Linked DNA regions of Arabidopsis thaliana. The protein of the gene in region 1 interacts with the protein of each later gene in a pairwise test. Each region holds a gene or a part of one and is shown on either strand. Other genes may lie near its edges.

The links.
Region 2: the proteins of DBP1 (region 1) and AT1G49830 interact in a two-hybrid assay, tested with the Arabidopsis thaliana proteins (one large-scale study listed by BioGRID).
Region 3: the proteins of DBP1 (region 1) and PRR3 interact in a two-hybrid assay, tested with the Arabidopsis thaliana proteins (one large-scale study listed by BioGRID).
Region 4: the proteins of DBP1 (region 1) and AT5G09460 interact in a two-hybrid assay, tested with the Arabidopsis thaliana proteins (one large-scale study listed by BioGRID).

The regions. Positions count from the first base shown.
Region 1 is NC_003071.7:10,902,216-10,910,138, forward strand, and holds DBP1 (DNA-binding protein phosphatase 1), read right to left. Parts: upstream 3,053-7,923; 5' UTR 2,764-3,052; coding exon 2,581-2,763; intron 2,365-2,580; coding exon 2,158-2,364; intron 2,047-2,157; coding exon 1,835-2,046; intron 1,516-1,834; coding exon 939-1,515; 3' UTR 780-938; exon of another isoform or gene 662-779; 3' UTR 501-661; downstream 1-500. Other genes in the region: AT2G25610 (ATPase, F0/V0 complex, subunit C protein), read right to left, coding at 1-70, 158-426; AT2G25625 (histone deacetylase-like protein), read left to right, coding at 4,347-4,447, 4,527-4,884; BGLU14 (beta glucosidase 14), read left to right, coding at 6,145-7,266, 7,318-7,665.
Region 2 is NC_003070.9:18,443,653-18,450,598, forward strand, and holds AT1G49830 (basic helix-loop-helix (bHLH) DNA-binding superfamily protein), read right to left. Parts: upstream 3,121-6,946; 5' UTR 3,008-3,120; coding exon 2,738-3,007; intron 2,548-2,737; coding exon 2,446-2,547; intron 2,348-2,445; coding exon 2,282-2,347; intron 1,983-2,281; coding exon 1,881-1,982; intron 1,699-1,880; exon of another isoform or gene 1,672-1,698; coding exon 1,459-1,671; downstream 1-1,458. Other genes in the region: MTK (S-methyl-5-thioribose kinase), read left to right, coding at 1-143, 225-399, 481-682, 785-999, 1,087-1,255.
Region 3 is NC_003076.8:24,195,823-24,204,291, forward strand, and holds PRR3 (pseudo-response regulator 3), read right to left. Parts: upstream 5,543-8,469; 5' UTR 5,307-5,542; exon of another isoform or gene 4,841-5,306; 5' UTR 4,681-4,840; coding exon 4,413-4,680; intron 4,325-4,412; coding exon 4,163-4,324; intron 4,067-4,162; coding exon 3,678-4,066; intron 3,587-3,677; coding exon 3,439-3,586; intron 3,317-3,438; coding exon 3,037-3,316; intron 2,957-3,036; coding exon 2,926-2,956; coding exon of another isoform or gene 2,893-2,925; exon of another isoform or gene 2,847-2,892; coding exon 2,661-2,846; intron 2,592-2,660; coding exon 2,524-2,591; intron 2,430-2,523; coding exon 2,393-2,429; 3' UTR 2,176-2,392; downstream 1-2,175. Other genes in the region: AT5G60090 (Protein kinase superfamily protein), read right to left, coding at 260-496, 599-1,032, 1,109-1,298, 1,381-1,550, 1,738-1,903; PUM18 (pumilio 18), read left to right, coding at 6,132-7,115. UniProt on the Arabidopsis thaliana protein: Controls photoperiodic flowering response. Component of the circadian clock. Controls the degradation of APRR1/TOC1 by the SCF(ZTL) complex. Expression of several members of the ARR-like family is controlled by circadian rhythm.
Region 4 is NC_003076.8:2,942,040-2,950,158, forward strand, and holds AT5G09460 (transcription factor bHLH143), read right to left. Parts: upstream 4,801-8,119; 5' UTR 4,649-4,800; intron 4,311-4,648; 5' UTR 3,816-4,310; intron 3,714-3,815; 5' UTR 3,538-3,713; intron 3,422-3,537; 5' UTR 3,379-3,421; coding exon 2,398-3,378; 3' UTR 1,699-2,397; downstream 1-1,698. Other genes in the region: AT5G09450 (Tetratricopeptide repeat (TPR)-like superfamily protein), read left to right, coding at 1-237, 380-1,285; DIC3 (dicarboxylate carrier 3), read right to left, coding at 7,202-7,788, 8,048-8,119.

The DNA.
Region 1 (7,923 bases):
ATTCTTGGAAGTGATTCGAGGAGCTTCAATGGCGGCACCGATCAAACTACTTCCGGTAATGTAAATTCCCCTAAACCATAAAGAGAGAGAGCAAAATAGTTTTCGTAAGCATGATGATTTCGCAAATCAATGGGGAGAAGAAGAAAAGGATTTATACCAGGCAGCACCAAGAACAGAGACGCCGATGGAGATGGCGATTCCGATGGCGGAGAAAGTGTACGGGGAGATTCTCACCAGAGCCGCGCCCCATGAACTCGCATGAATAGCCACACCGGACATTTTCTCTCTATCTCTTTGATATGAATGAATTTGATTTGTCTCTTTCTCTGTCTTTCGGAGGAGGAGATGATTAACAGAGCCTGTGCGATCTGAAATTGAGCAACTCCAAATCACGCGCTGATGAATGCGCGTGAATTCAATTACCATCGTATAGGCCTCGTAAGCGATACGAATAGCCCACTTTGATCGGACTATTGGGCCTTGTTCCTCATTTGAATATCCGGGACAATCTCGTTGTTCAGAGTTTCACGATAAAATAGTAACTGACGATGGCTCACTCAGCCTCATCACTAGACTGACTTTTCCAGCATCCGCAAACCGATAAGTGGCGATGTGGTCAAAGCCGACCCTCGAGTTTACTGCATATCTAACATACGTCATTCTGCAAGAACACAACATATTCGGTAAACGCAGGAATTGGAATAACTTTCTAGTTACAAAACAAATGAGACTGAAGCAGAATTATTATTATGCAAAAGTGACAAAAAAATATATCCTACCAAACAATAAATTATTGTATGCCGCCTCATGTTATAACTTACTCAAATTGCGAGAATTTAACAGAACAAAACCTCCAAACCCCAAACTATAAAATTGTAAGAAAAGACAAAACAAAAACAGAGAAATCAATCATTCGTCACCATCCTCATGTCCCCCAATTAGTTTCCCAAGCCATCCAAGTAGCTCTGTAAATCTTTTAAACCCTCCGCCGAGAAGCTTCTGTGAACTCTCAACCTCGGCGCTACCAAGTTCGGTGGTGGCTGTGGCTGAAGACACACAACCACTGCCGTCACATTATCAGCACTCTTCCTCTTCAAAGCTTCCTCAACCAGCTCCTTACTACACATGACCGGGTCATTGTGCTCCTGTAGTCTCCTTCTGGCAAAATCTACAGCATTCTGGCTCATGAACACATCCCAAACCCCGTCACACCCAATTATAAGGAACTCATCCTCTTCTGTTAGTTTTGTTGTCATGAGCTCAGGCTCTGCAATTAGAGGTCCACAATCAGAACCATCTTTCTTCTTCTTCATGCCTTCCATATGAAAGTCACCTAGCGCTCGAGCCACATTAAGTTGTCCATTTAGATAGCCATCGAATACATGTCCACCCGATGCTTCAATGCGTCTCCTTTCCTTACTGCTCATGGGTTTGTGGTCTCTTGACATTTCAATGGCTTTTCCCTGACGGGATAAGACTGCTCTGCAATCTCCAGCGTTTGCTACCACCAACGACCTGTTACCACAAAACTATATGTTAACACGGTACCAAACGGTTTCATACCAGAATACTAATAGAGTATGAAATGAGCAAGTATATACGTGACTCAAAGACCATATGAGACAATAACTACATTATAGCAGCAGCACATATGGGCAGAGAATACATCTACAGGCGAATTAGTTGTACATGATTGTGTTAAAGGTCAAGATTATGCACACTACGCAGTTGAGGATAAGCATCTATTCCCAAACACGTTTTTCTTTAACATAACCAAGATGTAAGAGTTTAGGTTAGACAAAACTAAAAGATAATAAGAGTTGAATCAACAAACCTTCCAAAAAGAATAGCTGCCAAAGCAGTAGTTCCTGAAGCAAGGCTCCCATCCAATGAACACGCCTCTAAGAAGGCAGTGTCTGTTTGAAGAAATGCTGAAGATAACACCTTATTGATTTCACTAGGAAACTCTTGATCTTCAACAATGTACCTCGGTATATGGTGACATGCAAACTCAGCGGCATGCTTCCCACCATGTCCATCAAATACCTAATAACAAACAAAATTCAATAAGAGATCCCCATATTTTCACTACATTCACAGTTGTTTGCTTATGCTACAAATCTACAAAAAATCAGGAAAACTGAAGAAAGAACATACCCCATAGAAGGCACTTGGACCAGCCTCAGAATTCAGAAGGCCAAAGCTATCCATGAAATTATCAACGCATAGATAAGCATCTTCCATGCTTGACCTGGAGCCAATATCAGACCAAGCTCCAGAACGCGTAGCAGGAACAAACTCAGACTTGTTCTTCTCTATAGTAAACTCATTCTCAACAGATATATCTGACACCATTGTCTTCACCTACCAAAATGAAAATCAATCAGAAAACCTCAAACATCTCATAATGACACATTAAAAACAGAAACTTTCTACCTTAATTATACACATTAGGAAACCAATAATGATCAAATCCAAAAGCAGAGCAATAATTACAAAACCTCAACTTAAATTGATCATTCAATACACAAAATAAACCTAACTGATCCACAAATCAAGTTGAAGAGAAACGAATCTTACGAGAGATGAGTGTCGAACCAGTGACCTCTTATTACACGGCGCCAACGATCGCTCGCCGTCGAAGGTTTGCCTGTAAACGGCAGCAGCGGCGGAGGAAGAAGAGAAGGAGAGTGGATTCGGCGGTTTACCGCCGTAACTCGAACTCCCATTCTCTGGATCAGAAATTCCTCTAGTTTCTTCCATATTGAAACATCATCGTATAAAAATTCAATAAGCAATTATGGAAACAGCTGACGAGTCAACTCACGAGTGAGCGAGTCGATTAAAAACGATTTAACGAAGAATGTAGCTTTAGATGAGAGATTCGTAAACAATGGATTCAGAATCGAAAACAAAATTGAAGAGATTGTTGAAAGGTTACACGAATTTCAGGGTTTAAGAGAAAATTAGGGTTTTGTGGAAGAAATTGGAACACGCAGAAAGAGAGAGATAATAAAACTGTTCGCCGGCGGAGGCGAGAAATATGAGTCCGACGGTTATTTAAAAGGCAAAAAGAAAAAGGAAAAAGGAAAAAGGAAGCTTAACATAAACACGAAACGTCGGCGTATTATTTACTTTTTCTCTTTGCTTTTTTTTTTCCTTTTTGTTTTTGAAGTGAGAGATTTTTTTTCTTATTAAAAAAGGGATATATTTACAGTTTATATGAGAAGTAAACATAGTATTTTGAAAAATAGCAAGAAAGGAAATCTGAAATTTTAGACTAATAGCAAAAAGATTTTGAGTTAAGTTGACAAAATTGAATTTTAGTAACTTGGGACCTTTTTTACATCTTTTTTATATAAAAAAAGTCGACACATGAGATATTACTTATAAAATTAAAAATACATTATTTTCATGAATATTTAATAGAGTTTATGAATTTCTCACATATGTTAATTATTAAGTGCTGAAAAATGTTTAATTGTTTTTCTGTATAAATGTTAAGTACTGAAAAATGCTTGGAATGTTTTTCTATATTTATATCTCTGCTATTTATATGTGTGATTTAGTGTTATTTAGGGCATTAAATATAAGATATTAAAATATTAAATTTTTCTATAATTTAAAAATAAGTAAATAAACATGTTGTAGACCGTAATTGCCAGATTATTTGTGCTGTTTCCTAAATACTTTTACATTCTTTGATGGTCACCAAATTAACTATAAGAAAAATTAGGACTCAGTCTCATTAATTTTTCGGAAGAGAAAAAGAATCAGTCTCATGGTAGTTGTTAGGAAATATTTGAATATTGTTTCGCCATTAGAAACTTTTTATGTGGATTTTTTTCCTGAAAACGATGGTTACTATTAATTAAACGGACCGACAAGAACCTTGTTGACGTGGTAACAAGTGATGACACATGCTAATTGGCCATCATTGTCAAATAATTTGTTCGCAAGGCGTGATACGTGTACGTTGTTATTCAGACGTAGCAAACAGATTCACGACTTTTGTTCAATTTGTCTTTGTATGGAGTATGGACCTAACATCTCCAACGGACCAATGCTATTGGGTCAAGTCCATCTTTTCTAGGTTAAGTTCATTCTTTGGGCTTTAGTTAAGTATAGAGAAAGAACATATTGGAAGAAAAATTTAGATGTGGTTTGTATTGCATGCGCATATGAAATGTAATAATTTGAGGATACATATATAGTAAGAAAAAATGAGTGACCCAAGTAAGAATGGGTTAGTAGTTATATATATGTTGGAGGTGAAAGGAATAAAATAAAATTTGTTCTAGGTGGATTCTTAAGAAAAAGAAGGAAACGAAAACAGAGGAATAACAATGGCAGGGAGAATAAGCTGCTGTCTAAATCTTCCTCCCCTAGATTCAAATTCTGCACAATCATTAGCTTCACTGCTCAAGACAACGTCAAAGATCTCTTGGTATCTCTTCTATTCATGAAAAGTTATTATTTACCTGATAATTTTTCATATCAATGATCTTTGTTCTTTTATTGTTTAGTAGGAGAACAGAAAATGAGACAGAGCCACGGAAAAACAAGTGTTCTTTTGTCTTGGGGGTGGCGGCAACTGTCGTAATCGGCGGGATTCAGATCAATGATGTTGCATCAGTGGAAGCTGCGGTTGTGAAATCGCCGGTAGAAGAGATGGCTGCGGGTGTGGTGCCGCCGCGGAGGTGGAGTGACAAGAGGACGTGTCCGCCTTGGCTTGAGAACTCGCTAGAGACCATCGTACCGGAGAATCTTCCTCGTCCGTCTGCTCATCGACGTTTGGAGTTAGCCGGATTAGCTAAGGGTGATGCACCGCCGGTCGGTGTGGTGATGACACGTGTCAACAGGGGTGGTTGTTTCTCCGTGTAAATTGGAAGTTCATTACGTGTAAGGGAGATTGTTAGGCAGGTGTAAAAAAAGTCAATTAGAAACAAATAATACACACAAAAACTATTGTAGATATATTAAATTTTAAGTATTTGTTTGTGTAGTTACTGATGACAAAACATTGAACCAAACTGGTCTTTAATTCATGCAAAATTTTCTTTGAGGATGCCATTTTTGATTTTTGGTTTAAATCGAACCGTATAAAAATAATTAACTCATTAAATTCATTGAGATCTTTATGTGCACGATTAGTTTTGGTCCGTCCTTTTTTTCTTTGTTTTGTAATCTTGTATCCTACCAAATTTTGGGAGTTTTCAGCTTTGTGTGTTAAAGTAGTACTCTATTGGATGTGAAATGAAAGAAAAGTAGTACATGCGTGTAGTACAAAAGAAAAACACTCCAAGTACTTCCTACTGAAATGAGTTGGCCTATTATCGATCCAAAGTGAAGCCCAACTCTATGTCACTCCAACGATTAGTTTGATTTCGGCCTCGTATTTCAAAGTTTAACTACAACTCTACAAATTTCACTTCCATGTCGGACCTTCAATAATTTAATTTCTTGATGCTCATGTTCTTTGCTTTTACAAGAATGGTGAGAGAATAAAGGGAGATTAGCCTTAGCGAGAGAGAAAAGACTCGTAGCATGAAGAGAAGAAGAAGAAAAAATTGGTTTTGCAATAAGAGACCTACGTTAACAAGAAAATGGACACAGCTTGATCATCTTATGCAAATCCACACTCACGATTTTCTAAAACTAGTTTGAAACTTACAGAAAACATTTTTTTTTGTAAATTTCTTAGATATTTCAAATAACTCTCTCGAGACATAAATCATAAAGACGATAACTAGTTAAGATCATTGTGAATAGTTTATAATGGATTTAACAAAAAAAAGAATAGTTTATAATGGAGTCTTGAGAGAGTTATTTGAATTATTTTGGGAATTTACAAAATTGTTGGATAAAAAAAGTAGTTACAAGAAAAAGGAAAATATTTACAAGTGTGTTTCTAATTTTTTCCTACTAGAAAGACAACTAGATAAGATCATTTCAATAGTCTTCTATTCACTAATTATGGACAAGTAAAAATTAAAAGATTTGTTACACCATCTCTATCTTACATTTCTCTATTTATAGATTCACATACCCAATGTAAAAACAAATCTCTTGCCTATATAACTCTAGACATAATTCATTATATTACAACAAACAAAGATTCAATAATCAAAAGAAAAATTTAGAATGACAAGTAAATATTTCTCCGTACTAGTGTTCATCATCTTGGCTTCCAATGAAGTTGTTGCCAAGAGACACTCTTCAACACCTAAATTAAGAAAAACTGATTTCCCAGAAGATTTCATTTTCGGAGCTGCAACCTCTGCGTACCAAGTTGAAGGAGCTGCTCAGGAAGATGGTAGAGGACCTAGTATATGGGATACGTTTTCTGAAAAATACCCAGAAAAGATAAAAGATGGTAGCAACGGATCTATTGCAGATGACTCTTACCATCTTTACAAGGAGGATGTGGGTTTATTGCATCAAATTGGGTTCAATGCCTATAGATTCTCCATCTCGTGGTCGCGTATTTTGCCTCGTGGGAATCTTAAAGGAGGAATCAACCAAGCTGGTATTGACTATTACAACAACTTGATCAATGAGCTTTTGTCTAAAGGAATTAAGCCTTTCGCAACCATTTTCCATTGGGACACACCACAAGACCTTGAAGATGCTTACGGAGGATTCCGTGGGGCAGAAATTGTTAATGATTTTCGCGACTATGCCGATATTTGTTTCAAGAGCTTTGGAGATCGAGTGAAACATTGGATTACATTGAACGAGCCATTAACAGTGGTGCAACAAGGATATGTTGCAGGTGTTATGGCTCCAGGAAGGTGTTCAAAATTTACAAACCCTAACTGCACCGCCGGGAATGGAGCCACCGAGCCTTATATCGTTGGTCACAACCTTATCCTAGCTCACGGAGAAGCAATCAAAGTCTATAGAAAAAAGTATAAGGCTTCTCAAAAAGGTCAAGTCGGTATAGCTTTGAATGCAGGTTGGAACTTACCTTATACAGAATCAGCTGAGGATAGGTTAGCCGCGGCACGAGCCATGGCTTTCACATTCGACTATTTCATGGAGCCGCTCGTGACCGGTAAATACCCGGTTGACATGGTTAACAACGTAAAAGGCGGTCGCTTGCCTACATTTACTTCAAAACAATCTAACATGCTTAAGGGATCATATGATTTCATTGGCATCAATTATTACTCGTCTTCTTATGCAAAAGATGTTCCTTGCTCAAGCGAAAACGTTACAATGTTCTCTGATCCTTGTGCTAGCGTCACAGGCGAAAGAGATGGAGTTCCCATTGGTCCAAAAGCTGCATCAGATTGACTTTTGATATATCCAAAGGGAATTCGTGATCTTATCCTCTATGCAAAATACAAGTTCAAAGACCCTGTCATGTACATAACAGAAAATGGGAGAGATGAAGCTAGCACTGGTAAAATCTTACTTAAAGATGGCGATAGAATCGATTACTACGCTCGACATCTCAAGATGGTTCAAGACGCTATCTTGATTGGAGCAAACGTTAAGGGCTTTTTTGCATGGTCGTTGCTAGATAACTTTGAATGGGCATCGGGGTACACGGTCAGGTTTGGACTTGTTTACGTGGATTTCAACGATAGACGTAAGAGATATCTTAAGAAATCGGCTCACTGGTTCAGACATTTATTGAATGGAAAAAAGGAGAATTGATGAGATATGCAACATTCCAATATATTAACTAACTAGATTAATACATGCACAATGGTTTGTTTGGAAAACAACTATTGTTAATATACAAATAAGGTTTGATTTTACTGTATTATATCAAACTTAAATCTCAAAAATAGTGGTTTCAATGTAAAACTTGTGCACACTAAATTAAATGGAATAGTATGCATTTAAATAAAAAAATCAAGAATTTTCATTCTTATTTCGGCCTTCTAAAATTAATTAATTAGTTAAATTAGT
Region 2 (6,946 bases), on another chromosome or scaffold:
GCCTCCTCATATCATTCTCCGCAAAGGACTCATTGCTGGGATTGAGTATCCTTTCCTCGCAGACCACATGTCTGATTACATGGCGAAGACTCTCTTCTTCACTTCTCTCCTCTATCACGATACCACAGAGCACAGAAGAGCAGGTTCAAAACCCTCACATCTATTTTATTTACTAGTCAATGTTATCGTGTTGCTTGTAGTGAGTGTCTTTTGTGTTTGTGTAGTAACCGAATTTTGTGGTAATGTGGAGTTATGCCGATTAACGGAGCAAGTTGTGTTTTCGGACCCATATAGAGTTTCCACATTTAATCGTTGGACTTCACCTTATCTTGATGATGATGCTAAGGCTGTGCGCGAAGACAGTGCCTTGAAGCTCGAAATCGCAGAGCTAAAATCGATGTATGTGTTTTCTCATTTCCCGGTAATTTCCGCTAGGATTTGCTAGTATCTCTGAACCACCATTGTGTATTATGTTGTTAGGTTCTGTGAAAGAGCTCAAGCTTTAATACATGGTGATCTTCATACTGGTTCTGTCATGGTTACTCAAGATTCAACGCAAGTTATAGATCCAGAGTTTTCGTTCTATGGACCGATGGGTTTCGATATTGGCGCTTATCTTGGTAACTTGATACTAGCTTTCTTTGCACAAGATGGACACGCCACTCAGGAAAATGATCGAAAAGTAAGCAATTTATTCAGAATTCTGATTTGCAGTTTTTCTGTCTAGGCATCGTCTACACGGTTGCAAGTACATCAGTTTAAAGCAACATGATTCTATTTTCAGGAATACAAGCAGTGGATCTTGAGAACCATTGAGCAAACTTGGAATTTGTTTAACAAAAGGTTCATTGCGCTATGGGATCAAAACAAAGATGGACCAGGCGAAGCATACCTTGCAGATATCTATAACAATACCGAGGTTTTGAAGTTTGTTCAAGAAAACTACATGAGGAATTTGTTGCATGACTCACTCGGATTCGGCGCTGCAAAGATGATTAGGTGAGAGAATCTTAGTCCATGAGATTTCTTTGTCGATCATATAAACTCAGAAACGTTGTTGACAGTGTTGGTTTGATGATATGGCAGGAGAATTGTGGGAGTGGCACATGTTGAGGACTTTGAATCAATCGAAGAAGATAAGCGAAGAGCTATTTGCGAGAGAAGTGCACTCGAGTTTGCGAAGATGCTTCTCAAGGAAAGGAGAAAGTTTAAGAGTATCGGTGAAGTTGTTTCAGCAATTCAACAACAAAGCTAAGACAATTTATAATGTTCTTCTGCTGAAGTTCTTGAAAGTCTTGTTTTGATCTTGGGAGTTAATTGGCAAGAAAAGTATCACAATGCTGCTTATCACATGGATTTGTAATTTAGTGGTTTGTGGTGGTGATGATGGTATTCAAATGCATTTTGTTACAATAATAATAATAAAAGTTTAGAAATATTTTCACTTTTGAAGATTATCTACTTATCTTTATGAGATTTGACTTCCACAATCTCTACTGGTTCACTGTTGGTGTGACTGGTGAGTGGTGACAAGATGGCAGAGGACCATAAATCAGCACCGTTAGTATTCGCCACGTGTACGGTCCAAGCTAGTGGAACAAGACATAAACCATTGCTTCTCAACTCTTTCACTTTCATCGTCGGGTTTACTTCTCCGGTGTCTTCGTCGTCCTGACGACACATCAACTATTCATCAGTCACAACACCGTCAAAATAGTAATCTTTTAAGTCTTAAAACAGTCGTTTCGAATCATGGAAAAATAAATATCTTCCGGTTTTATTGATAAAGACATAGAGTGTAACAAAAAAAGAGGATACCAAGAAAAAAGTGTAACAAAAAAATGAAATAAGATAATACAAAAGGATGATGGATGACTTACAAGAGGGTTATGTTTGAAGTAAGGGGTTGAAAGAACTTGAACTTGGTCTTGTAAGAATTTTATGTAACCCATTGTTTCATGCAACACTGATGCTGCATCTGTCTATTCAAATTTTCCAAATTACATTTTTCTTAGTTAAAATGTAGAAAGTAAACTAATTTTAATTACCAAAACACATAATGTACCTCCAAAACAGTAAAATATAGTCCGTGAATATCTCTCTACAAGTAAAGGTTTCAAGCTAATACCAAATGACGTAACTATAGTAAAAGTTTCAAGTTTACATCAAAATTTAATCACCTAGATTCAGGGTTTTGATTTTAGTTCAGTATTATGTTGATAAGAGATATATGAACCAAAAACAAAGAGAGAAGGTAACTTGTTTTAGTATATTGATCCACCTTGCCATATGGAGAAACCAAGTGCTGCAATGTTGTGATTTTTTCACCAACCTTTTCTTTCTTGACCTATTTTTATGAATAGCATTTGTTAATTACTATTATTCACCCAAATAGCTGATCCATTAGATAAGTATACATAAATATACACACTTTTAAAGCCAAACCTTAGCATTTCCAAGCGATGACTTCTTCTGATCTCGCTTGCATCTCTTACCGGGTTTTGGATCGCAAACCCGGTCGTGCCCATCAGCCGACCCGGTTTTCTTCTTCAAAACAAAGAGACAAACATTAAACAAAATAAAAATTATACATTATAATGATCTTGTGTTTGACTTGTTGCATGCACTGATGCATATACTTTTTAATGATCTTGTCACTTTACTTAATGACCTTAAAGCTTGGCTAAAATTTCAAATAATATTAACTGTAGGAATGTTTTACATATATATAACTTACATTGGATCTAAAAGATTGATCATTGACCACACAGGCGTTATTGCGTGAAGAGAGAGGGGAAGCGGGAGAGAAAGAGGGTTGTGAGAAGAGCAGATCGGTGTCGTTTTGGTTTCCTCCGCCGAAACAGAGCATTTGAGGAGCATCGTTTCCGGTGAATCTGAAACCAAAGCTGTCTTCTTCTACTTCACCGGAGCTAAGGACATCATCAGACATCATAAGAACATCAGAGAAGTTCATGACACCGTCTTCTTCGTCCGTTGTGCCTCTCATCGTAGAGTTTTTTTTTCTTTTTCTTGCTTAGGCTTGTTTGTGGAATTGACAGAGAAAGAAGAAAACAAGTGAAAAGGTGAGAAACCAGAAAAGAATAGTATCAATAAATGTATTTTAATAGTAAAAAAAGAAGATGAAAAATTGCATAATTTCAGTTATAGCAAGTAGCAACAATAGTTAACTATGATATTACATCAATGGGATAAGTTGGTAAAGGAGAAATCAGAAAAATGGTAAGGCAACTTGGCCCAAGAAAACTGTTGGTTTCTATTTACTCGAAATGATGAATTTTGTAAAACAAACTAATCAAACACAAAATGTTTACGGATAAAGATATTAAAATCCCAATAGAAAAGCTCGAGAAACTCACATTGATGTAAAACTCTCACATTTTGAATTAAAAAACATACTATTTTTTTCATTTAAAATAATAATAAAAAAGTGTGAAAACTGAAAAATTATTTTTACAAAAATAAAAAAGACAAAGATGTTTGACATGCGCGAAGAAGAGTGAGGTACGTACAGCTGCAAGACCACGCTAAATTTAGGAGGGTTGACAGAGTTGAGTAGTCCACAAGTTTAGTTTCATTTTTGGACACTTAAAAGGCTTAGGATACAAGTCGTCACTGTGTCTGTTTCATTGCTATGGTAAATTAACCAAAATAAGTAAATAACCATCCATAACTTTGACTGCTTCAGGCTGAACCAAATCAGTGTGTATGGCCTGTTTTCGTATCAATCTTTACATTAAGAGCAAGTCCATTGGGAGATCCTTAACAGTTTTTAACATAAATCCTTAAGTAATTTTGGAAAAAAATAAATCTAAAATGTGATTTAAACTTGGGATCGCACCTAATTTTAGAGTTTTTTCAGTTGTTAAGGTGCGCATACGTGGCAACTAATCATTGGTTGTGTTTTTTTGACAAAACTTTTTTTTTTCTTTTGCCGTGTTTTGTTTTTCAAATCGATTTTCCTCTCTTCTCTTCTCTTGTTAACTCCGGTGGCGATTGAGCGATTGGTGATCATCATCATCACGCGTTTATATCATCAAATTGGAAGAGATTATCGACGGAATTTGTCTCTTATCCATCGTGCTCATCATCTCAACCGACGGTGCTCAACGTCGACTAGTTTGGTGAACTTAATCGGAGAGGACTGTGAACCAAATCGGAGATGGGGTTTGTCACTTTTCGGGGTCTCTTATCTCAGTTGAAGTTGCTTTGTACCAGTGTTGTATCAAAAATTCAGAATCATTATCTTCTTTGCATCTTTTTGGAGTTATCAAGGAATCAAACCCATTTTATCATTGCAGGTAACGTGGATATATGAAGCAGATGTTTTTGGTGAATGATAAGTGCTTAACCATGATTGAACCACAGAAGAAATGGTCAAAAAGAATAGAAGAATTGATAAGTGCGTTACTTAGATTTAGGAGATCAAGCTCCACGTTTCCATATTCCCACTTTGTTAATAATGTTCTTTGTTTTTAGGATTAGTTGTCGATCCCCTTTGCTTTACTTTGTGTACTTAAAGACTGCCAAGTTATGAGAAGGAATTAGACTTGATTTGCCAAAAGAAACTTGTGTTTGTGTTGTGTGTTTACACATTCTCTTAGCTTTGAAGAGGGACCACCTAACAGGGAATCAGAGTTTTGTAAATAGAACCGTCACGGTAACGTCGAAATATTTTTTGAGTCAGAGACATTGATGAGTACATGAATCCTAATAGCTTTGTGTATAGGAATTGTCCCTCCGTAAGATGCCTTGCTCATAATTTCCTTAACCTGGTAAGTTCTTCACATTGCTTATTTCAATTGATGCTTTCTTATGGTTAGAGATCTCAAAAATTTTCATGCTTAATATTTCGAGTTCTAGTCACAATTATTTACTTTGATCCTTGTATACGATTACATCAGTCGTGTCTTTAAGTTCTCTGTAGTTGAAGCTAAGTTGCGTTAAGGGCTTTTAAATAACATTTATTTGGTGATTTATGAGTGTTTGGTGTTGTATGTGATTACATTTGTGGCTAAGAGACGAAATGTATGTATGTTTCAATCTTATGTGGGTTAGGGGTAGAAGAAATCATGGGATTGGTCGAACTAGGCCTGGTTAGATTCTTGTTGATCTTCAGATGGAGAACAAGATCACCAAAGACATGGCTCAGGATGAATTGGAAACTTGAGCAGAGTCTAGAAGATAAATATAGTTCCTTGGACTTGATTTTGTTGGTTTTTATTTTCTCTGGAAAAAAATGTTGATCTTTTAAGGTTTCTCTGAAAATCCCTAATGAGATTCTACCATTGGAGGAGGAAAAAATAAGAATCTCCTTATGAAGTCTTTAACTTTGAATTATGCAAAAAATATGATTAATATATTGAAAATCCTTAATTAGGGACTCTACCAATGGGGGTGTTCTAAGAGACGTTAGTTTTGTTCTCTTAGTGGAACGCGTCATGTTATTTTCTGATACGGCCCATTCAATATATACTTTTTTTTATCCCTTTTTCTTTTTAATACAAAAACCAAGATAGTGCAAATTTCTAAATATACAATTTTATTCTATCTATAATTGCAATTTTCGTTTCATGTATTTAACTAAAAAAAAAGAAGGAAAATGTATTTCAATTTTTGTAAAATTTTATATGTATTTTTATTTTATAACTATTAACTGAATAGCATATAATTTCAACTATAAGTGAAACATTACTGATCAAATAACATGAACATGTAGTTGAGTTTAATATTCAACTAGATTTTAACCCACGGTGTAAAAAAAACTGAAAATTTTTTTTTTTTATAAATTATTTATATGTAACATATTATTTTGTATTTTATAAATATATAATTCTAATTTTGATATATTGTACAATCCCTTGATTTTATCATGGGATACACCATAAGTCGATTTTTAAATTATATATGTTTTTGTTAAGATTGTTTGTTTTGTTATATATTTTAAATTATATAACTGTATTTTAATTGTTAGTTATAGGATTTCACTCATTGTATACCGTCTCGTATTACTATAAACCCAAATCCGTCTTACCTCAGTGAAATTAAATATATTTAATGGATTTCACCAGTGATATACTGTCTCATATTACTATCGATCCAAACCCGTCATACCATCTAACCCCGTTCAGTAAAATAAAACATTATTTTATTATTTTTGTTTTAATAATACTTTAATTTAAAATATATATAATTCATATCAATTTAAAAATTTTATTTGAAATGCTTATTTAATTGTTATAAAGTTCATATATTATAATATTCTAAATCCGTTCTACCATCTAATCCGTTCGGTGAAATTAAATATTATTATTTTATTTTTTGTTTAAATAATATTTTTATTAAAAGATTTATAATTCAAATCAATTTAAAAGGTGTCTTTCAAATGATTATTTAATTTTTATAGATTTCTTATTTTATAAATATTCTAAACATTTTTTCCTATAAATATTATAAACGTTTAATTTAATAAATACAATATTTACCTTTTAATAAAGTATAATATTAATAATGTTGTGAATGATTATGTGTAGCTAATTTTAAGGAATTTGATTTGAAGTTTGTTGTTGGGATTAAATTTGAATGATAACGTGATTGATATTTTAAATCAAAAATTAAAAATCAAATCAAATAATTAAAAATTTAATGTCAGTAGCATATCATTGTAAATAAGTTTCAACTATAGGATTTATTTTACAAAATGGCTGCAAAAATGTATATGTAAATGAAAAGTTGGAAATAATAATATCTCGCCTAGTTAATAAGAGATATCAGCCAATATTTTTTATTGTCAGTTGGTGTTAAGTTGAAAGTTCGTAATTAAAATCCAAACACGGTTTAACATGATGGCATGTGATTTCTTGAAACATTCAATCCAAAATATACCTCTCTATATGTTCGTTAAAAGCCTGGAATCATAAAAGAAGCT
Region 3 (8,469 bases), on another chromosome or scaffold:
AATTCCAATAAGAACATTTATGCTCTGCTTTTTTCCTCTCCTCTCCTATTTTAAGAAGTTTCCATAACAGAGAATGAAAAGAAAAGATCTCGAGCTGTTGATTAACAAAACCATCTCAAAAAGTTCACAACCTAACCTGACCTCGTCTCAAAAACATCTCAAAAAGTAACAAAACCATCCGTTACACAACCAAGTTTCTGAAAAACCAAACACCAAAGAAAAAAAAGAAGCCCTACGTAAAACCGCCTGAGAAAACTTCTTATGTTGAAGCCGAACGCCTCCTTGTCACCTGGCGCGGCACTTGGACCGGGAAAGCTGCAGCTTCGAGAACCATCGCTTCCACTTCACTCATGGTAGGCCGTTCAAGTCTCTCTGCCTTTATACACATCCTCGCAGTATCAAATATCTTCTTTAAACCTTCAACCGAGTACCTATTACCGAGCGCAACATCAGCTTTCACAGGCGCATCCTCGATCCTATCCCATACTCTCAAAAACTGCAAAAAAATAAGAACATCCAAACAAAACTCAGCTAATCTACTAACTTCCATAACACGAAACGTGTAAAAGGTTCCTAGATACAAAAGTTTTAGTCATACCCAATCAGTGAGATTCTTTTTCCCAGCAGGATTATCCGAATAAAAAGGTTTCCTTCCGGTGAAAAGCACTAACAGAAAAGCTCCATAGCTATAGACATCAGTCTTAGTCGAAACCAACCAGGAAATCTCTCCTTCCGGTGCAATGTATCCCATAGATGCCTTCATCGGAATGATCCGTTGCTGCTGCTCAACACCGTTTTCATCTTCAACGATTTTAGTCGCCAATCCAAAATCTGTCAGCTTCGGAACAAAATCTGCATCAAGTAATATGTTTCCGGCCTTGACATCTCTGTTAATCACTTTCAGCTCCTCGTGTAGATAAACCAGGCCCTTGGCTACACCCACAGCAATTTTCATCCTCGTGTACCAATCCAAAACCCTAATTGGTAGTGTTAGACCCTTAGGTCGCGGACCCTCCACCATCGTTTTGTGTGCTACAAAAAACAGAATCAATTAGGTTTAGAAGCTAAAACAGAGTCATCAATTAGGGTTTGATTGAGTTTTCTTTACCAAAGATGTGACGCTCAAGATCTCCGTTGGCCATGAATTCGTAAATTATAGCACGGTTCCTTTGGCCGTAACAGTTGCCAAGAAGTCTAATCACATTTGGATGATTAGTTGCACGTAACGTTGTAACCTCTGCCAAGAACTCAACATGACCAGTTGGATTCTGTGGATTTTGAACCTTTACCGCTCCATCCTAATGAAATCAAAAGTTTCAGACTTTAGAAACTGGGTTTCGATTATTAAGCATAAAGGACATGACCTTTGGGTCTATATACCACATTAAGTCTTGAGAAATAGCAGCGATGGACTTCGCCGAAGTTGCCTTTGCCGAGATAAAATTCGTCCCGGAAGTTTATGGTTCCGTTTACGAGCTCACGCCATAGAAATGATTCTCCACAATTATCAGGTAGAGGTGGAGATACTGGTAACAGAGCAGCAGTCGGATCTGCAAATGAATTACCAAAGGTTAAAGATTGAACAAGATACTACTTTCACTTGCAAGAATGTGACGAGACCAAAACGAAGAAGTAAGAAAGAAACTCTTAAAATACAGAGTTGCGTAAGATACAAGAAACCCAGAAAACAAGAAATCTCGATTTCAAGAGATTGAAGAAGAGAAACGAAAACGGAACCTGCAACTTCACGATCGTCAGGGAGTCGGAGATGATTTCTCCAAAGATGATTGAGGCGCTCGTTATTCCCAAATAGGCGCTCGACATCTACTTCGTCGTTCTCGTCGTTACCTTGCGCTGCGTTACTTGAGCTTCCTCCTTTGAGACAGCATAAGAAACGTTTCATCGTAGCGATCAACGAAGATGAATCTTTCTTGAGATTTTTTTCTTTTGTTTTCCCGAGAATCTTTTTCCCGGAAACAAGTAATTAAACAGAGTAAGAGACTCTCAACGAGAAAACTAGAGCGAGAAAGAGAATGAGAGAGGTTTGGATGATGAGAACTAAAAGAATTCGCCGGAGGATATTTATATAGACGGGAGATTATGCGCTCTAATAATTCTTAAAAAAATTAGAGAATTAAATACTCAAATTATATTCATAAAACACACACACTAATTAATGAGTAACATTATTTATTGAAATGTTAATGAGTTATTGTTTTCAGAGAAGAAGTACTATAGCGACATTATTATGTTTGTAGAATAGTAATGACGTTATTTAAACAAGACTACTATCTGTTTTTGGAAATGGAAAAAAAAAAATGCCACTTTGTGAAATTTTCTTCTGTTCTTCAGATATTGGAGGTGGATCTCTCTTCTATACCAATTTTGTTGTTCAATTGTCTTCACTTCCTGATTTATGATCATCCCTCCTAAAGGCAAAGGACTCCATGTGAGTACATTACTATATCAGGATACTTTTCGAAACATCTAGAGGGAGAAATCTTGGAAAGGATTTGAACTTACTTGCGAATGAATTGACCTTTGACGTGAGGCCGTTGCTCAGCTAGTTTCTTCCTGCTATGGTACCTAACCTAAAGGATACCAAAAAAAACGTTAGTTTCGTCTCAGGAAACAAGAGCTTAAGCTTGTTTAGAGCTTACCTTTTTCTCAAAACATCGCTCTTTACGTTTAAGGCGAAACTTCATCAAAGCAGCTTCTCTTTGTGCCCATCGGTCACTTCCACTAGACTGCTGCTTTAAAGGATTGTCACTGCTTGAACTCGAACCCAACAGTTTTGCAATAGGACTGTCATGAGGAGAACAACTTTCCACATTTTCTTCTGGAGCCTAACTCAGCAAAAGTTCAAAGTTTTTGATGAAACCGGCATAAATTTCAAAGACAGCGCCAAGCATCATGAAAAGTTACCTTCTTAGCAGAAGTAGCACCATTATTGTATCTGCATATCACAAGAGAACCAATAACTCCAAATCAGTCACAGGTTCGACATTTCATTTGCAGTTAATGTCAAGAACTTACTTTGAGAATGCAGAGAGATTTGAATGCCTCAACACACTTCGATCACCGACTTTGTAATCTCTATCCTCTCTTGTTTTTTTCAGAGTTTGCTCGAGTGATTGCAAATCTTCTCGGTTAGATGAAGGTGCTTTGCTTTCTACTTGTGAGTTACCAGAAGAGCGATTCAGCGTGTCATCATTGTTTCTCTCCAAAGCTTGAACAGAATACTTTGCATTCTTTTCAAGATCTCCTGGTTCTTCAGCTTTCTTACTCATAGACATTCCTGTCTGTGATCCCGTGCCTAATACAATATCATCTAAAGTCATTGTTTTGAATTAAAGTAAATCAGAGAGAATCTCAAGGAATTGTTCCACAAGATCAGTGTACTCACATTTTAATTGACTAATTAATTTGCGTTCTTACCTATTTGTTCCTTCTGATCTTCAGCCTCCTTCAGTCTATTAACATGTGCACATCCATTTTCATAGGTTCCTTTCTTGTTGGGTGCATCGGGAAATTGATTTGAAGGCGAGGTGCTCTTAGTATCACTGGCTCTTTTTGTCCAAGAACTCTACATATTTTTATAAATGCAAAACCAATCAAAAATTTATAAACCGATTTATTCAGACATTGTTATTATCTATAGCCATAGAACAGATTACCTGAGTTCCACTCCCGTTATCACTCCCACCATCTTGGTTACTCAAACCACCACTACTCCCACTTTCATTCCTGTGTTCATCACTGATGCTGGCATCATTTTCTGACCCTTGGGTGCTTTCAGGTTTCACCGACTTCTTGTCATGTATTCCACTCTCACTTCCGCTTCCGCTAGACTGGTAAATCAATAAACGCATAAGTAAGAAAAAAACACAGAGTAACTTTTGTAAAACAGGTAACCAAATCAGAACTCTTACGCTGTGACATCTTCTCCAGACATGTTGCCAAAGATTCTTTAGTTCGTTCTTTCTAATGGGTTTCACGAGAAAATCAACAGCACCATTCGACAAACACTTAAAGACCAGAACCATAGAATCATGTGATGACATCACTACAAAAAGAAACATCACATCTTGAGTTACACAAACTGAGCATGGCATATTGAAGCTGGATAAACAAAAATTTAATCAAGGATTTGAGTAAATACTTATGACGGGGATGTTCTTAAGTGTCTTATGGCTCATAATCTTGGACAGCAGACCGGTTCCTGAATGCACAGGCATGTCAACCTCTGTTAAGACAAGATCAATGCAACTTTTCTCATCTTCTAGAATTCTCCAGGCTTCAAGGACATCCGGAACAGCAGTAACTGACAAAAAGTTTCCAAATTTACAACTGTTAGTCAAAAGCAAAAATGTGATTGCTAAACAAGGATGATCAATTCAATATAAGAAAACCTTCATAGCTGCAATTCTTTAAAAGGGCAGTAACAATATGGCGTGTTGAGTCATCATTCTCCACCAGAAGAACCTTAAGCGATCTAACTGGGAGATACCTCTCCCACTTCACAACATGAGCTAGCGGTTGCTGCTGTTGTTGAGAAATCTGTACATTGTTGGTATTTCTAGCAGTATCTTCAACTCGAAATTCATCTTCTTCAGATGAACCAAACACTTGCCTCTCGGTTTCCACTTCATCACCAGTTTCAATGTTATTAAAACACATTTTTAGAATACTAATATCTCATGAAAGTGTCAAGACCAGCCTCCATGAACAAGATAGAATAGAAGCAGCATCAAGTAACAGCTAAGATTCTGCAGAAACTTCCCCTCTACACTGACATAACACTTGCACATTTCTTCTTTCCCCAAACTTATTCTAATCCCTTCACCAAAACCTCAGCCCAATAAGAAACGAGAAACAAAAAAAAAAGCAACATTCCGTAAGAAGATCACAGTCTCACACCAGAACCAAAAAATAAAAAACTGAATTTGGATAAATCATCAAACTTGTCCAAAGAAAAACTAAACAAGCCAAATCAAATTTCAATAGTAGCACACACTCAGCTTTAGAAAACAATCTGAAACTTGTTGTTTCTAAAATCAAAAGCTATCAATGTTCCAATGGAAAATTATCACAGTACTTGGTAAGTAGTTAACAAACTTTGAACACAGTTTCTTTTATTCATTAGATGATTGTAAAGATCTCCTACTTTCTCAAATTTCTTATAAACTCTACAGAACCAGATACAAAATCAAACTCTAAGGCTCTAAGCTATAATACTTAATGAAATAAGCACAAAATTCAAACAGCAGCAGATTGTAAAAGCGACAAGACAAACAAAAGCAAACCTTTTTCACATAATCCATTGATGAACACCACCACCACCAGAATCTCTCACCATATCTGACTTGAAAAACCAAATTACAACCAAAAAAGAACAGATTTTTGCTTAATCTGATTTGCTTAGCATTTAATCACCTAATCATTCAAAAATGTTTTGATTCGTATCTATTTTTCTTTTACCAACAACTTTACAGAACCAAATTGCTACTAAAATAGAATAAAAAGAAAGAAAATTTAAAAAACTTGATAGAGAATCAGAGGAAGAGAAGACTGGGATTTTTTGGGAGGTGGTAGAACAAAAAGGTCAGAGAAGATATTATTTTGGAGTTTGATGACGTGGCAGAACTAACCTACGTGTCAAGTAGGACCAGATAAATTTACGCATGCTGAGATTAGTGACGTGGACAAAATCAAAAGCTTGGACTGCGAGGGGTTGGTTTAGACTTTAGAGATTATCGACATGTTAAATTATTGTCGATTTACAACAAAACAAATTACATATTTCCATTTGTTTCAGATAGATTATTATTATCTTCACACACCAAAAAAAGATAGATTAAAATCATGACAGTTACGAAAATGCAAAGAAAAAAGGAAAATTGACAAAACAAAAAGGAAACTCCACCAAATAAGTTTCCTTTTCCTTTTCCTAGTAGTAATCCGAGTTGTGTAATTGTAACTAGAAAAACAAAAGCCCTAACTTTTCTATAAATACTCTACGCATCACCACAGATCTCTCATTCACAAGTCTCTCATACTTCTCCCAAATCACACAAACTGATTAAACCCTTTTCTAGAGAAATTTCTGTAGATCATCAAGAGATTTATCAATGGCAGTCGCTGATAATCCCTTTTCAATGTCGACCATGTTCAATGCTTTACCAAACCCTAAAGGAATCTCCGGTTCCATTCCTCCTCCTGGATTCGCCCCACGCGCCTCCGCCACGCCCTTGCACGCAGCTCTGTTCAACCTAATGACTGACGGCGATGGTGTGTCTTACTTTAAAGAGATGATCTCAAATTCAGACAAAACAGAGCTTCAGAGGATGGCCTCGTTGCTTACGTCTGACTCCGATTACTTCATGTCGATCGTCACAACCAAGTTCGGCTCGAGACGCGTGCAGAAGCTCCTCGGCAAATCAGATGACGTGGACGCCTTCTTCTGTGCCGCTATCTTGCGCCGCTTCCTCCACATCACGACCGACAAATACGCATCCTACGTGACGATACGAGCCATGGTCGTTTTCGACAAGGTGATGAAAAAGGCATTGTACGAGCGCATTCTCTACCACGCTCTCGACCTAGCGTGTGACCAGCACGGCTGCATCGCGCTCAATGATATCATAACCGACGCTGACGATCCTTACTACAGAGATCAGCTACTAGAATTGGTCGCATCCAACGCTCTCCGGCTAAGCAACGATGCTTCAGGGAACTTTGTGGTCCAACATGTGCTTACACTGTATGACTCGCGTTGCATTCACAACATCGCCGTTAATCTTTATGGTCAGTGCATTGAGCTATCGTTTAAGAAGTATGGAAGCTACATCGTGGAGAAGCTTTTGGAGGTGGAGGAGTCAATGGTTGTGGTGGTTGTGGAGCTTTTGGGTTGCGATGGAGACAGGTTGATGAGGCTGGCGAGGAATGAGTTTGGGAATTTCGTGGTGGTCAAGGCTCTGAGATTCACCAAGATGTCTAGGATGGATCTGTTTTGGGGTTTGGTGCAGAAGCTCATGCCTTTTATCCGTCTCTTGCGTAGATCTCACGGAAGCAACATTGCAAACATCTTGGACTCATTTAGGCTTCGTTGCTGATTATAACTCTGTGTTTATTTTTCAAACCAGCTTACAATAGTTTAATTGTTCCGGTGTTCAATGTAGTTACATAACTCTGGTAAGAAAAGTGTTTCGTCATAAACTACTATTTTGTTTTGTAAAGTTGGAGTTCTTATGAAGAAGAGTTTACACAATTTGAAAAACGAAATTGGCTAATACATTTCTTCTTGTGTTCTTATTTCTGAAAACAAAACAAACCTAAATCGAGAGCTGTAAACGAATACACATTGCAAACTTCATCAACACCTTATGAAAGAAAAGTAAATCATATTTGGTGCACTAAAGATAAAATCGCACCTTGCTCAGTTAAGGAAGCAGCTTCCCTTCCATTCCATTGTATGGCTGCCTTGTCACAAGCCCAAAGTTTCTGCTAGAACCATTAGCAGGAAAATCACGAAGAGCATACAGCTTATACTCAGATAACAATCTTATCAAGATAGATACAAATGTCTCATAGCCATCAGAAATCTCTAGATATCACAAACGGATCTTCCTGCTAATGGTTCTAGCAGAAACTTTTTCACATTAACGAAAAATAACCAAACAAACTAATGAATTCAATAAGTTAAAAGCTTTTAATAGAGTGGCACATCAGAAATCAGCTCACAGTTGTAAAACCAGTAAGTTAAAAGCTTTTCTCTGTCTCTGTGCCTCTATTATTTAGGACAGTATTGTCATTTTCTTATATAGAATTGACCGAAACTTAGGCCCATATATCGTGTTCCCGTGGGCCTCTAATGACTAATTTTCGAAAACGATGGCGTTTTAGCAGTGTTTTTTTCTTTTTCCAATTTGAAGCCCTACAAGTATAACAATAGAGAGAAACCTCTGTTTTCCAAGTTTTTGCTACAAATGTTCTATGAATACAAGTCAATTAATGTAAAAAAAAAATTAAAACTCGCATTAGTTAAAATCTTTATAATTTGACATTAATGCTCTCATTAGCAAGTGACAAGATCAAATCCATTTTATCTAGGGATCATCGCAGTTAATCTTTATGGTCATTGCATTGAGCTCTCGTTTTAGAAGTATGTAGTAACTTCTGTATGCGGAGGAGTCAACGGTAGTGGTGGTTGTGGAGCTTTTGGAGTGCGACGGAGATAGGTTGATGAGGCTGGCAAAGATTGAGTTTGGGAATATCGTGGTAGGCAAGGCACTGAGGTTCTCGAAGGAGATGTCTAGGACTAGGATTGATTTTTTTTGGGGTTTGATGCAGAAGCTCAAGCATTTTTCTCCATCTCTTGGTGTAGGTCTCAGGGAAACAACATTGCAAACATCTTGGACTCATTTAAGCTTCGTTGCTAACTATAATAACTGTTGTTTATGTCTTAAA
Region 4 (8,119 bases), on another chromosome or scaffold:
TCGTCACGATTCTCCAAGTCGTACAATGCTGACGCAGCAATCGGAAACTCCCTTGTCGAGGAATCGGAGGAGAAAGACGATCTGAAGAGCAGGATTTTCAGATTGAGACTTCCGAAACGTAGCGCGACTACTGTTCTCGAGAAATGGATTGGAGAAGGGAATCAAATGACTATCAATGAACTCCGAGAGATCTCCAAAGAGCTTAGGAGAACTCGCCGTTACAAGCACGCTCTTGAGGTACTAACATCGATCATTTCCTTTTTCATTGGTTTTTCTTCGTAGCTCCTAGTTTCTAGATTGATTGCACAATTTATGATTTGTTATGTGTTGCTGCACAAAACTGCATTCTTCTGGGAGCTAATTCAAGTATTATTAACAGGTTACAGAGTGGATGGTACAGCATGAAGAATCAAAGATCTCAGATGCTGATTACGCCTCACGCATAGATCTGATTTCAAAAGTTTTCGGGATCGATGCAGCTGAACGCTACTTTGAAGGTCTGGATATAGATTCAAAGACAGCTGAAACCTATACTTCTCTCCTTCATGCTTATGCTGCCTCCAAACAAACCGAACGAGCCGAGGCCTTGTTCAAGAGAATCATTGAGAGTGATAGTCTCACTTTTGGTGCCATCACATACAACGAGATGATGACTTTATACATGTCAGTTGGGCAAGTTGAGAAAGTACCTGAGGTTATTGAAGTGTTAAAGCAGAAAAAGGTTTCTCCGGATATTTTTACTTATAATTTGTGGCTAAGTTCATGTGCTGCAACCTTTAATATAGATGAGCTTAGAAAGATTCTTGAAGAGATGAGGCATGATGCTAGTTCCAATGAGGGTTGGGTTCGGTATATCGATCTTACTAGCATCTACATAAACAGTAGTAGAGTAACTAATGCAGAGTCTACTTTGCCTGTCGAAGCTGAGAAATCTATTTCGCAAAGAGAATGGATCACATATGACTTCCTTATGATTCTGCACACTGGTCTAGGGAACAAGGTTATGATAGATCAGATTTGGAAGTCTTTGAGAAACACCAACCAGATATTGAGTAGTAGAAGCTACATTTGTGTTCTTTCATCTTATCTAATGCTTGGTCATTTGAGAGAAGCCGAGGAGATTATCCATCAGTGGAAAGAGTCTAAAACGACAGAGTTTGATGCTTCTGCTTGCTTGAGGATCTTGAATGCTTTTCGAGATGTTGGTTTAGAGGGAATAGCCAGCGGCTTTCACTTGATCTTGGTGCATAACAAATGCAGCTTGGAGAATGAAGGATCATCTTAAGATGGAGAAATAAGTTGGTGAAAATTTTATGCTCTTAGCAAGAAGAATCAGATCAAGCTCATTAATCATGGTGGATGAATAAAATAGAGGTTTCTTCTCTTCACTGTGATTCTTAAATATCTTTTTGTTCTTTACGTGGGAGGTCATGAGACACATAGATTTCCTCACCAGAAGATTTTGCTGCATAGTCGGAAGATGTGTTTCCTTAGGCAAGGTCCATAACATTTCATATGTAACGTCAAATTTCAAAAAGTCCAAATTTTACAACAAAAAATAGATTGTGGAGGTTTTTCTTGTATGGTTGTTGTTTAATAATAAGTCTACAAAATTTGTTTTTGGTATAGAAAAAATGATAGTTTGAAAGGTTAGAGCAAAATCCTAGCATGTAAGAAGCCAAAGAAGGTTCCATTATTAACACTCGAGTTTATTACATGAACATGATACACAAACATGTTTAGACCCATGAGAGAAACAACAGAAGCAAATAACATTACAATAGTACAAAACTACAAGGCCTTTGAAGAGCTTAAGAGCCAGAGAGATTAGAAAAAACAAAAAAGATGACAAGTTATGGGATTGATAGCAACAGAAGAGTAATAATGAGACAAGAGAGAGTGGGGACATAGATTTTCACCTAATGAAAGTGGGAAGATTTCAATTTCCACAAGTCACAACCACTCCAAAAATTTCAATATTTGCCTTTTTGATTTTTCTTCATCCACACCCACCACCACCAGACCTTCACAGAGATATTATTATTACTCACGAGTAAAGATAATTATTAACGATCAATGAGCACCAAGACTTTGCTTTTTTCCCTTCTTTCACTTTTCTTCCACTCCAAGCACAGAAGAAAGTGACTTTTTTTTGGTTCTTTTTTGAGAGAGCATGCCAAATCCAAAAGTAAACCACTATTGATCCAGCTAGATGAACAGTGGATACGGTCCCACTAGGGTCACCAGGCGTGTTCTAATTGTTTCAAACCCACGTTAATGAATTTGAGAGAATCTTCTTCATCAGTCCTTTACCTCATTGATTATCTTTTGTCCCATGTCTTCTCTTTAACCAACCAAACATGCCTTATCAATAGGACAAAAGGGGTTGTAGGTTTTTCACCAATGGTTATTCAAACCCTTTGATGAGTTTAAGCTTTGCTTCAGCAACTTGAGGTAATCAATGGCTTCGTCTAGTAGTAAAAGAGCTTCTTTTCCCTTTGCCCCTGGAACTACACTCTCCAGGATTCTCAGAGCGGTGTGAATCTTGTCTTTTCTTGACTGCTCGTCGCTCAAACCAGAACCCGTTTCTTGTTTGCTTGAAATGTTTGATTCAGGAAGGTTTTCATCTGATAAGCCTTTGACTTTAGTGGTGCCCACAAGGGATGGTGATGAGTCTCTGTACGAATGGTCCAGTAGTTTCTGTCTTTTAAGAAGTGGACCATCAACAGTGCTTTCAGTTTCATCCAGCTCTTCTGTTGTTATGTTGCACGCTTGTTGTTCAACTGTGAATGGAGAGTGACCAGTGCTCATTACTTCATCATCACTTTCCCAATCATCATTATCGTCATCATCAGAATACAGTAACGCGTTGATTTCCTCAGTGTCTTCGTGCATTTCCGAGTCTTCTTCGCCATTTTCATGATCTTCATGTTGCAATATCTTTTCTTGAATGGCATGATCTTTACTAAACCCTTTCTCTGGGTGTAGGGCACCGAGAATGTTCCCTCGCTCTGCATCCATAGAAGAAGGAAACCGCAGAGGAAATCCACATTGTAACAAACGAGTCTGCTCTCCCGACTGATCGAATACTATAAATCTTTTCCGAGAAGACTTGAGTGCCCCCTCTGGAGCAGCACCGTTGCTAGATCGCCCATTCAAACATGAAACTTGTTTTCCACAAGACTGCTGATCATATCTAGACAATAAGGCTTGGAACGGTGGCTGCAAATAGCGAAACTGATGCTCAGCTGCATAAACTTTACCGAGTTCCGGAAAAGGAATTCCAGGACGGAAATACTCAGTCGCCTTGTCCTGGACACAAGCTTGAGGATTTAAGCCTAATGGCAACCATTTCTGCTGTTTGGTATCAAGAGGCATGCTCTTGCAGTTTAAGCCAAGGGAACTTTACAGGAATACAATACTGCACGAAAAAGGAAAGGGACTAATCATTGGACATGGCTATGAATGAGACAACTACTAGTAGCCCAACTCAAGAAAGCAATAATCCATAAAGAGTCAAAGATTCAGTTAGCATACCGATTGTGGAAGCTGTTGCTCAAATGTGTGGAACGCAACACTTGTTGATTCTTTCTTGAAACAATCGTATAAGAAAGTAGAGACAAAAAGAAAAAAGGTGCCAGCTCCAAAAATACAAACACAAGCTCACAAACCAACTACGTCACTGGTTTGAGTATATGTCTAAAGTATTCAGCCTGCAAGTGGAACAGAGACAAAAGTGTTAGATAAGAAACACAGGACTATGAGATGAAATGTGACAAAAAAAAGAGTATAATATCATTTTTGCTGCAACAAACCTGACAATTATCCATCGGTTGGAAGCAAGCAATAACTCTCACTACAATTGTTGGTCTGCTAGAGTCTCCGTTGTTCTCGTACTTGAATGTTCGAAATCTTGTTTGACCAGCTGATTGACTTACCATAATAATAACTTTTCCAAACTCTCGAATGTAAAACTAGTGTTTCTCCACAGAACAGAGTAAGTCACCAAAAGACAGATGACTTGAAGAAGAAAAAGAGAAGCTTTAAGGGTTTAGATGATCCTATACTGGTCACAGTGGAAAACGTAGAAACGTTGGGATCCCATTATTAAAGAGTTTAGAAAAGGCTGAGGATTTAGAAGAAGATTGAAGATGGGGTTTTTCAAGGCAGAGAAAAAGTTTACAGAATAACTCGGCAATACAGATTCAAGCTCACAACTTTACGGTACACATCAACAGACCTTGTGAACCAACTCATGCTGTTTTTCTCATTCACTGCTTTGTTGTGATCCAGAGAAAGAGAGAAGAATTCTGTTACAAAACAGAGAATCATCTCATCAAATTCCAGTAATAACAAACCAAAGAAACCAAACATTCACAACAATTGAAAGGATAGAGAAACCATAAACAGCAGAAGAAGATAAGTACATGTTCTGCAGCATTGAACAAGTATAATTTATTTTAGCAAAATCAAGAACTAAAAGCTTGGATTTTGCAAGCCAAGCTACGAAAATAGAAGAATTTATCCGTTTTGGTAACGATTTAAACACATTTGCATCAAATTCGCTGATAATTCAACTTTTTCGAGGAATAAAAAAACAGAGAGAGCACAGCGACAAACAATGGTTAAGTGAATCCAAGAAGCGTACATGGAGGAAAACAGAGGAAGATCTATGCGTGGAGATCCAGAGAGAGTGGAGAGGTTTATGAGACGAATTCACGAAAGCTTGAACGGATAAGAAACGAGAAAGCGGAATATTATTTCGAAAATATATTTTTAGCAAATTCACTAAAAGTGGGCGTGAAGACTGAAGTGTGTGACATTGCTTTATACATCTTCTTATTTCTTGTGACGATTTTACCCTTTTCCACCACTTTATTTACCGTCAATAATGGAGACCAGGAAAAGAAAAAGAAAAAGAAAAAAACAGTTCACATCAACCAAGTTTATTTCAGATTTTTTTTTTTTTTTTTTCATTTTTCTTTCTCTTCCAAAATTTAGATAACCAAGCTGGAACATCAACTCTAAAAACTCATTTGAGCAAAACATAACACCATCTCCATTGCCCAACTTTATTTTCTTCTATTTTAATATTAACTCAATTTAAGAAGAAATATAATTAATTTTACTCTATTATATATTTTAGAATAGAGTTACTACTAAAATAGAAGAAAAATGTAGAGATTACTCTATAAATAGAACAAAAGACAACTTACTCTATATTTGTTTTCTATTTTAGAGAAAACTTTATTTTAGAGTCATACAATGAAATAAAATACCTTTAAAATAGAGTCAATTTTAAAATAGAAGAAAAAATAGAATTGAACATTGGATATAGTCTTATTATTTTGATTTTTTACTATTCTTTTTAGTAGAAATTAAAACTAAAATACACTTTAGTATGAGTTTCAATTCATATTTCTAACACATATTTTTTATAAAGAAAAATTAAATTTATTTAATTCAGTTCAATTTAAATTTATTTTAGAAAATACATATAGTATAATTTAAAATGCATATAATTTTGAATTGAATGGTAGAAATAATCTAAATATTTTTATTAGTTTGGATGGTTGCAATGGGACGAGGAGTAGAGGAGGTGGAACGTAGAATATATGTAATTATGATGTATAATGGCAAACCCTCGCGATCCATAATTTCAAGCCATAAATTAATAATTATGTAATATCATAAACGTGAGAATTTCTTAGTAGTTCGTTAAAGTAAAGCCATTATATGTTCGTCTTCTTTTTAACTTTTTTTTTTTTTTTGGGGGGGGGGGCAACGTTTTTTCTTTATAATTATGAGCCAAATAGTGGAAGTGAGTTTTTAACCATTTTGGTGGTTTCTATAATCATTATTTTTAAAGTATTAACCTTTCTTTTTAGGTGTGTGGGTGGGATGATTTGGAACATTTATGTCTTTACGATGACGCGATACAAATTGAACTATATACATTGTAACATATTTGACTAGTTTAGTAGCTAGCTAAATAATACAATATTTTTGACGTGGCTTATAAAACACCAATTTAGCCCACTCGTTTTTTCATATATAATTACGAACTATTGTACATGATATTTTAATAAGTGATTGAGGTGAAAAACGTTGGAGCATCCACCAAATTCCATGATCATAGGAGAAAGAAAAGAAAACGAATAAAGAGGTAAGCAAGTTTGGTGAAAGAAGAAAAAAAAAGAAAAAGAGAAAGAGACGCAAGTGAATGATTAAAAAAATGCACAGGGAATTAAGTGCTTAATTGCCTTGATGACTTCTTTTTCTTTTTGGAACATTTTTTCTAAAGATTTTAATTTCTCGTTGAATCTTTTTTCTTTATTTTGATGTGATATGAGATTTGAGAATAGTCGTTGCCGTGTGAGATCAGTGGACCCAAATGCCTACTATGTACTTCAAAATTCTTAAAATTTTAGGAAACAATTATTATGTGTTCTATTCGGAAGCAAATCATTGAAACATGTTAAAAGAAAGACAGTTAGATAGAAATTTCAGTGTGAAAAAACAAAACATAGAAATTTCAGTTCACATAATTGAGACTGGGCTTTGGTTAGATGAGTGGAGTGGCCATGCAAAATGGAGCCTAAACATGGCCTTGGACTTATTTTGGGCCATGTCTCAGCTTTGGATAACTCTTATACAATCTCATAAAACAAACACCAAATTGCCACCAGCTTCAAACTCAAGTAAAAAAACTTTAGAAAGATTTTATTTCTCTTTTATAGAGATAATATGATCAAAGTCAATAAAAGAAAAACATTATTGTTAATCTTATTTTCTTATAATTTTTTGCATAATTTCTAATTTAGATTTTTACAAACAAACAAAAGAAATTGTAATTTAGAAGCGATATTTCATATTTTCTGTCAACCAAGAAAATAGAACATAGTACCCAAAGAAAAAAAGGAATATACCAAATGAAGGTCCCCAGCAAAAGTATATCCCCCAAGTCCAAGAGACTTGGACCGTCCGAAAAAGTCCCTTTGCTTCAATCACTATCAGTTTTCGCATTTACTAAAAAAAATATTTGTGCAAATAAATAATTTATTTTTATACAAAAATCTCTAGTAAATATTACCTTAATCGCTATATAATTATTTTCAAAATATTTTAAACGTATATGAAATGTATGAAGAAATATGGGAATCTCAAACATTTATTAACCTAACTACTTGAAAAAAATTAATCAAAATTTAACGTCTTTTAACAGACCACGAACTTGTTCCAAGGTAAGGAACAAGATCATCGTGAACGGTCCTTGCCTCGTCGCCGTCGGAACAAGCCCTTTGTACAAAGCCATTGGTCCTTCCTCTGCCACCATCTTCACCGCACAATCCAACGGTCCACCGTAAATCTCCTTATCCGCATTCATCATCCTCGTCTTCACAACGTCGATGGGATTCGACGCCACCGCCGCGACGATCCCCGCCGCAAAACTCGCCGCTACATGCGTTCCTATCCCTCCCGGCGTTCCACGGCCACCAGCTACCAAGATTTCTTTGACGTGATCATACGTAGCGAGCTGAGAAGCTGTCACGATCATGGCACGGTTCACGGTTAGCCATGAGCCACGCCATAAACTTGAAACGCCTTCTTGCCTTGCGATCCTGTCGATCGCGTCCACGACGCTCTTGTAGTTTCTGCGACGGTTTAACGGCAAGCTTCCGTCGGCTTGCATTCTCACCATCGCCACGTCAGCAGGATTCCCGACGACTGATCCAACGGCTCCTGCGATGAGTCCAGCTGTGATCTTGGTTACCAATGGGAAGTTACCTGTTTGGAATTATCGTTTACGTTTAATTTATTTGATCTTTTGTGTAATAATATGGAAAAAATTCGAACCAAACAAACCGAAACTGTTTAAGATCGAAACCGAACCAGCATTTGTTTATAAATCCATTGGTTTTCTTATTTAAAACCAATAACCGAGAACTGTAAACGACTTTTAGTGTAATCAAACCAAACCAAACCGAATAAAAACCAAAATTATTTTTTGAGTAATATTGTTGCCGATCGAGTTTAGTATTATTACCGGTGAGTTGATCAGTCCACCTTCGTTTAAGAAAGTCGTATATACCCATACGGGTGGCAGAGTAAAGCATCT